2 linked regions of the Oryzias latipes genome follow. The protein of the gene in region 2 purifies or fractionates together with the protein of the main gene of each other region. This does not show direct contact. Links are inferred from orthologs where the notes say so. Each region holds a gene or a part of one and is shown on either strand. Other genes may lie near its edges. The genes, in order: pan3 and pan2.

Region 1 (3,819 bases), on a different chromosome or scaffold from region 2:
ATGAATTTTTTTAAATTTTGGCTAAAAACAACATATTCAGAACTAAAAGAGCACTTTTACAATAGATCGAAAGATGATCAAAATGGGACTTTAACTGTGGACTAAGAAAATGACTCCAAATTGCAACATGTCACCCTGTTTCAACATTAGAAACATGCATGGAACATGTGCTGTATCTCCCATTAAAACATGTTTATGGAGACTGAAGCATATGCATGGAATACGTCTAAAACTCACGCTTTTATAATTGTCCCAACTGATTATGTCATTATAAAAGCAAAATATAATAAAAAATGACTTCTTAATCACTTTCAGGAGTTTGTTTTTTTTACATAAACACTTTATCGAGTACAACTGACCAATTCTGTCAATTACTTTCACAATTCCTCAAGTTTAGCTTTTTATCATTTGCCTGATTTAAAGCAACACAAAAGTAAAAGGTGAGGTCACCAATTATTCAGTTATTCTGCTTTAATGAATAAGGTCACAACATTACAACTATTTCTCAGTTCATACAAGCCATTTCCAGCACTTCTGCTTTTGACTAAACACAGATTCTCTCAAGGTTGGTAATGTTTAGAAGTCACTTCTTTACAAAACCTTACCAGCAGCCTCTATTTAATCAGTATGAACAAGCAATAGATTTAGACTTAACAAAATTAATAAAATATTCCCCCAAAGACCTCAGTTATCCTCATTCAAATTGTGAAAATGTGATCCTTTAGATTTTATTTGTTCAACATCTTTTGAGGTTTAGCAAACTTCCACGCACAACCTTTAATAAAAGCTGATGATTTTAATTTATGAGCCCTACAAAATAAGATTCTTAAATGTTAAAGAATTATTTTTTATCCTTTTAGAGAGACTTCTGGAGGGAGAATTTAGAAAGAATAATAATTGTTTGACACTGTTGCGTCTTAATTTAAGGGACTAAATTCAAGAAGAGTGCTGTACAACATCCTGTATGTAAACTGCTCGCCTACCAACTTTCTCAAGAAGTTAAACTAGCAACCTAGCAACAGAATCCGGCACACAAAAACAAATTTCTTACTTTGGCCAAGTCCTCCTCGATTACATCATTCCTCATCTGTGAAGCATCCAGCTGGGTGTAAAAGCGAGCTCCAATCATGGGCATGATGTCATTGACACTTCGCAGGCGGGACTGCTCAGACAGAAGGTACCTGCAGAAACACACAAAAGACCAGAAGTCGAACATTGGATGACAGCAAAACAAAAGTCTCTCATCTCTCCCAGAAGCAGCTTTCAGCCTCTTCCATGTGAAAAAGTTTCAGCCTTTACAGTTAAACCTAAATCTGATATAACTTCAGAAGTGATGCTGAAACTTGGAAAATCTTTTTTTATGTGAACCATACATTAAAGCAGCATGATTTAGGATTTCAACTTGATATAAATTAAGAAAGATTTTAAGCAGTAAAAATGAATCAACGTGAATTTAAACTTTAGCAAAGTAAAAAAAGAAAAAATAAGTAAGAAGAAGCGTGAACTGAGAAGCAAAAGGTCAAATTATTACTTTTCAGAGCTTAGAAAAAGAAGTTGTAAATTAAAATGATTAAATAAAATGATTTTTTTGTTGTTTTTAATGGATGCTATGTCATAAAAAGTATATTATGTGAATGACGGATCATATTTACATTAAAAAAGTAGAGTATTTTTGCTTAAAAGATTACAGACTACGTTTAAAAGATCTAAATTGGTTCATTAGATTACAGAGCTAATTTCCTCTGCACTTAAACCTATATGTCTCATCCTATCAACAAACATGGAAGTTGAGAACAGCACTGATAAAGTTTGGCTGAAAAGCTTTAACAAAACGCAGAGACAACAGGCCCTAAACTGAATACTGAATCAATCAAACTCGTCTTTTCAGACCGGTGTTTTACTCGCCAGCTGGGAGTTGCCCCTTCAAACGTGGAGTGCGGCGTTATACCAACCTGGTCAAAATTCAACACATGACTCGTGAGGAGATTGTCCCTGAAAGAGGATCAGACTTGGGTCAGGACTCGGTGCCAGCCAACTGAAAAACTGTCTATCTGTTCAAGTGTCTCCTTTCTGTTCAATTTGGGCTTCAGATCTTCCCATCAACAGAAAGACACAACACTAACCAGACCCTCAGTATCTTAAAAATAAAAAATAAAAAATTAAGGAGTCTGTGTCTTTCATTTATTCACTTTTCTAATCAAACTTTGCCCTCGAGTCTATAGGTTCTCCAATGAATATTTTAGGAAAGCTTTTGGGTCTTGTTGCAGGCATTTCCATACTTTTTGTTCCTATAGTTAACATTTAATAAAAACCAAAAGACTTGGGCTCAAACTGCATCCAGCCGAGCTCCGGTGCGGCCGCTGGAATCTTTACGTAACTTGAAAAGTGCGAGAGGCAGATACACAGCATTCGGTTTGGTCCAGCGCGTGCCGGAGCACTTTTTCGTGAAGTTGAGGCAAATAAAACGGCCTAAACCTGAAATCATGCGTGGGAGTGTAAAGTGCATCTGGTCAATTTTTCAAAATAAAACTAATTGTTTCCACTGCACTCACTATGTTTTCACCGTGGTGTAAACATTACGTCATTTCCACTGACAAGGAGTCACAAAGTGTGCGGTAGAGTGTCATGTTGGTCATTTAACACAATGGACAAAGAGAGGCTGCGGTGTGAGCCCAGGGTTAGAACCTCACTATACAACAACTATATTAGTATTGCTAAAGAGCTGCACAACCACATTTTTTCCACTCCAGCTGTCAAAAAATTAAATCAACCTACATTTGGCTGAAACATATTTGGAACCTTTAACCATTTTAGAGAAATTCTCCTTAACCTTCTATTGAGATGAGACGGAGCATGAAGCCAAAATCCAGTAACAAGCAGTTACTTTTTACTGATCAAACTAGTGTGAATTTTAAAAACCATAGGAAACAAGTTGATTTCCTAAAATAAAAAATCCAAAAATAACTATAAACTTTCACGGTTGAGTCGGTGAATTTAAAGCTACCATCCATGTTTTTATTTTAGTTTTTTGGTTCAAACTGCCCTATATGAGACACCGATTCTGTTGAAACCGTAGCAAAATGTTGCAGAAGGTGTTAACTAAAACTGAGAGATGAATACACTAACCTTTTGTTTTGCCCTATTTCAGCACTAAGTTTTTTTTAGATTATGTTTTGAAGTCTTATTGCTCTTTGTGGTTAAGCCCATCAGTAACCACCAAACCAATTTCAGCCAGACACTTTTCACATTTTTAAGCCATTAAACCAATGATTTTTTGAAATTGATGAGCTTCTTAGGGAAGTTTTATTTTTTGTTTGATAATTCAAAATCAAATTAGGGTTTAACAAACAAATTTTTTTTTGATCTGCTTAAACCTCAAAATATTCTTTATTTTTCCAGCAAGTTTTTTGGGAAACCATTTAATTTTAAACTTTTTTGGTTTTATTCTTTTTGGGGGATAAATGAACTATTTGATTTATAAAGCACAGCTACAGGAGATTCCAAAAATATCTCTCACTACCAGCTGACCACATGTGCACCCTGCCACCCTTACAGGATGAGATTCTTGAGATCTGAGGAGTAGTTTAAAGACACCAGCTCCATCGCCTTCTGCAGATTCTCCCTTTGAATTCCAGCCAGAGAGTTACAGGCCAAAGCCAGGACCACCTTGCCCAAGGACACTAGATCTGCTTGCTGCAGAAGGAAACATACAAGAAATAAAAGCAATGAAAAAGATAAACACCTTTAAAAACTATATTTGCACAGAGTGTAGTTAGAGACTGTACCTGGTACTGTGGCATCAGGGCGAGATGATTGCTC
Region 2 (4,266 bases):
AGAAGCGTGCAAAGTGTAGCTTTGCCAACAACACAAAAACACATAAAATCCACAATAAAACTGACAAGTAAAACAAAACAAACAATAAGAAAAACCGTAAGAGTTTGAAAGTGAAATAGTAGTCTCCACACATTTGACCAAAAACTTACAATAATTAAACAAACATTAAAAATGCGGTAGCCTATGCGTGTAGAATTACATATTTATATTTTTTATCATCACTTTTGTTGGTTTGAAATGATCTTAGTATTGGTGGGAATTGTGGGAGTTTCCTCTCATTATTGTCCAGGTGTGCAGGTAAGTGTGAACTAGCTCAGTTTCACTTCATGACAATGGCAGTGCCCAGGAAGTGAGATTAACATTTACGTTTTGCCAAGTTGATTAATTGGAAAAAAAACTTGCCATGGGAATCCTCCTGTCCCTCCTGTCTACCAGAGAAAATGACCAAAATCTTTCCCATGAAATGTCTCTGTGAAAAAGACAGGAAGCAATACAAATAGTGGAATATTATACTTCCTTTGTCTTTCATAAATTGTGTTTAGTATTTTATCAATGAGTCGGAAGAAGTAACTGTTCCTCCTACTCGTTTAAGTAGAATCAGGAATGTTTTGCAATCAAGGACTTTATTGTAAACCTGAAAGAAGCCTTGAAAGAATTCCTTTAGAACTTAAGTGGAAATTAACCAATAATTACACTGTTTTTGCACATAAGTCAAAGTAAAAAAGACTCAACAGTTTAAGTGCAAACTTCTTTAGTGTTGTTTTTGTTTTTCTGATTCTACACTGTTCTTCAGTTATGAAGATTCAGTAACTATTACTCTACTTTTATAGAAGATGCAACACCTTTATGGTTAATATGCCATTGAAAGATAATAACATGCAAAACAATAACCTGAGTAAAAATAATCTTGTTTAAAATAACGTGACACTTTATGTGTTTTAGTTGCATTGGTGTAATACTTGGGGGGGGGGGGGGGGGGTCCAACATAGAAAGAAATAATCAACAGACGAGGCAGTAATCCACTTCTTAATAAAAAATAAAAAACAAAAGTAAATTCAAACGAAAATACAAATGGATATTGAAGCAGAAGATGGTTTTAAATTTGGGTTAGGTTAACACGCCCTATAACATGGATTTCCAATAAAATATTTGAAAAGGTGGTGGTTTTAATGTCACTGCGTTGCTGAGGATCACTCATTCCTCGATCACTCCATTTACTTAACCAGATTCACTAAACAAAGTGGTATGCGTTTAAAAGAATAGTATTATTACTGTTTAACACAATAAAAAAAGCACTGTGCCCCGAAACAGAAGACAAACGTCACTGTGGGGCCATTTACCCAGAACAGAAGCTCATGAAACCCAGCCGTTCTTGAACTCACCGCCGTTTGCTCCGGAAATACTTGTGCGTTGTTGTTGTGAATGGTGAGCATGGACACCTATGCGCCAAAACATTCCAACAAAAGGTTAGAAAATACTTTAAACACGAATTTTTAATGAGTCCATTTTTAAAGATATGACAAAATCTGCTTAGCGTTGTGTGAATTTAGTGTAAACACGGACGGTGGAAGCATTTTTTTATTTATTTATTTTTACCAACAATGCTAACTTTTAGCGAAATGAACCAACCGTTACTCACAGCTAGCCTTAGCTAGATTATTCTGATGTGACATTAAGAGTTTAGGCGCGAACGCCTAATTCTTTTTGATAAATGCATATATAGTACGATTTATTTGAGCTCTTTTTGTTTTAGCTAAAGATTTCTTTGTGAATTAGGTTCGGTTGAGCTTTCTCGGAGGCAGCGCCCGGTGGGGAATTTCGCCTTTATTTGACGCACGACGTGATCAATGTGTAAATCTGACCTTCATTTGCAGGTTGCTGCTGTAGCTTTTCCCCAGCATGAACTTTGAAGGTCTCGATGCAGGGATGGGGGAATTCCCACCAAACCTTCACGGGACTCTTGACGCGGGACTGGAGCCTTCCATGGACCCTCACCTAAACCCCAGTTTACTCCAGGGTGTGGAGCTGGAAGCGGAGGGCCTCACCATGACGGTTCCCGAGCCTGTGCACATGATGGAGGGAATTTTCTCTGAGCTCCACAGTGTTGTGTCAGAAGTGGGCATCCCAGTCACTGCAACACATTTTGATAACCAGGAAGAAATGCTCTGGATGGGAAACCACAGAGTGAGCGCATATGCAAACTGTGTACATTGTTTCTATAGGAACTCGGCTCTAAAACTGAACTGATTTACCACTGTTTTCTGGTATTCTTAGGGTCATGTAACATCGTTCTTTGGGCCTACAATGGGACGTTATTCATCTTTCCAAGTGCACGCTGCAGATGACATCCGGCACATACAGAGTTTGGAAACAGGAGTGCTCTTCCTTTCCAAATCCAACCTCAAATGCTACACGCGTGGCGGCCTGTTTATGTTTGATTATCCGTAAGTGGATGTGTGGATGTGTAACATTAACATGGTAACTAAAATATTTATTATGCACGTAAGTCTGGAAACAGCCTGGCGTCATAATGTATTAGAAGATATTTTTATGTACATATTTAAGTGAGCAGACAACATTTGTGTTCAGAATGGAGGAGGGAGCGGACATGCATAGTCTCCTCATGACCGGCAACAACACGCTCCTCATGGGTGGGCTGCAAAACTATGTTGCTGAAGTTGACTTGAATACGGTTCAAGAAACTCAAAAGGTGAGTAACAGACTTTCTTTTTAGTTCCTAAGTGCTATATGCAACAGGACCTGCTTAAAAGACCAAATCCGATGAAAATTGTGTTTTTGTCATTTGTTTTTACAATTTCTTGTGACATTTATCAGATGGATGACATATATTAAGAAACTTAGGCTACGTTCACACTCCAGGGCTTAATGCTCAATTCCGATTTTTTGAAAAAATCAGATTTTTTTTTACAAGGCTGTTCACATTTCCAATTAAATGTGAACCTTTGTGATCTCCTGTGTGACCGTGAAATGACCCAGAAGTGACCCGCATGCGCAGAAGAGTTCTCAATGGTGAACGACGTCACTTGTTGTTTGCAGAAGTAGCTAACGTTAACAATGGAATTTCAACAACAGTGTTATCAACAGCGGAGCTCTTTTTGCATTGTTACATTTATTTTCACAAAGGAGCCAGCACAATTACAATCTTCTCATTTTAAGAAGGCATTGGAGCCGGGATCGTCTGTATCCTCTGTTGTGTAAAGGGGATGTGTATGTGTTTGGGGCTGCACACGTGTGTGTGTGTGTGTGTGTGTGTGTGTGTAAGAGACAGGACAGAGCGCGTGCAGCGAGGTAGAGAATGAGGGGGGCAGTGGGGGCGCGCATTCATGTTGTATGTTAAAGGAGGAAGGAGAACGAGAATTAAAGAAGGTTTCCCCCAGAATAAATGCTATTGACTCTTTCTTAACCCGCTCTGGAGAATCTGAGGGTCCGAACGGGGAAGTGAACCCCTAAGGAGGATCCGCCTTCTGCCCTGGAGAAGGTCTCCCCCGCGCTTCTGACTAATTAAAAGCTGAATTAAACCTTGACAGTGGATGAGGCCCTCACATCCTCAGGTAGGCTGATCCACAGACGAGGCCCGTAGTTTCTAAATGAGGCCTCGCTGTGGTTTTTTTCCTGACCTTAGGATCTTTAGCAGCCCGCCTGAGGATCTAAGGGCTCTGGGAGGTTCATAAGTTAAAAGCAAATCTTATATAAAAGAAGGACCAAGACAATGAACACTCTTGTAAACTATTAAAAGAATCTCAAAATCAATCCTGAAGCTGACAGGGAGCCAGTGCAGAGATTTTAAGATCGGTGTAATGTGTTCCCTCTTCCTGGTTCTCGTTCAAAGGCGTGCAGCAGAGTTCTGGACCAGCTGCAGGCGAGATGCAAAAGAAAGCCGCAAAAATTACGCTTTCATCAGTAGCCCTGTAAAATTACTGTAATATTTGTTTTTCATAGCTGTCTTTGTTTATTTGTCTTGTGGTTTAAAAATCTGCTGGACGATGAACAAACTTCTTAATATCTTTCTAGGTGTAAAATAAAGCAATCAAAGTTGTTTGGAAAATAACTTTTCAATCCTTTAATAGATTCTCATGAATTTTATTTTTTTCCTTAAGTAAATGCTGCTTTCCCTCCTGTCAATGTGTTAATGCAGACCTTAATGCTCTGGACAGTGATATGTTAATATGTTGATACTCAAAAGGGATTTTATTTTACCCAAAGGTGTCTGCACAGTTTGCACGGCGTTCTCCTTGTGTGTGTTTG

What was found.
Region 1: the proteins of pan2 (region 2) and pan3 purify together in Homo sapiens (co-immunoprecipitation; 5 studies listed by BioGRID and IntAct, with this or other methods). This does not show direct contact. The link is inferred for Oryzias latipes from reciprocal best matches to the Homo sapiens genes PAN2 and PAN3.

What each region holds. Positions count from the first base shown.
Region 1 is NC_019878.2:17,415,879-17,419,697, forward strand, and holds part of pan3 (PAN2-PAN3 deadenylation complex subunit PAN3), read right to left. Parts: coding exon 3,786-3,819; intron 3,694-3,785; coding exon 3,554-3,693; intron 1,182-3,553; coding exon 1,052-1,181; intron 1-1,051. UniProt on the Homo sapiens protein: Regulatory subunit of the poly(A)-nuclease (PAN) deadenylation complex, one of two cytoplasmic mRNA deadenylases involved in general and miRNA-mediated mRNA turnover.
Region 2 is NC_019865.2:22,098,737-22,103,002, reverse strand, and holds the start of pan2 (PAN2-PAN3 deadenylation complex catalytic subunit PAN2), read left to right. Parts: upstream 1-1,380; 5' UTR 1,381-1,466; intron 1,467-1,874; 5' UTR 1,875-1,899; coding exon 1,900-2,184; intron 2,185-2,274; coding exon 2,275-2,444; intron 2,445-2,589; coding exon 2,590-2,710; intron 2,711-4,266. UniProt on the Homo sapiens protein: Catalytic subunit of the poly(A)-nuclease (PAN) deadenylation complex, one of two cytoplasmic mRNA deadenylases involved in general and miRNA-mediated mRNA turnover.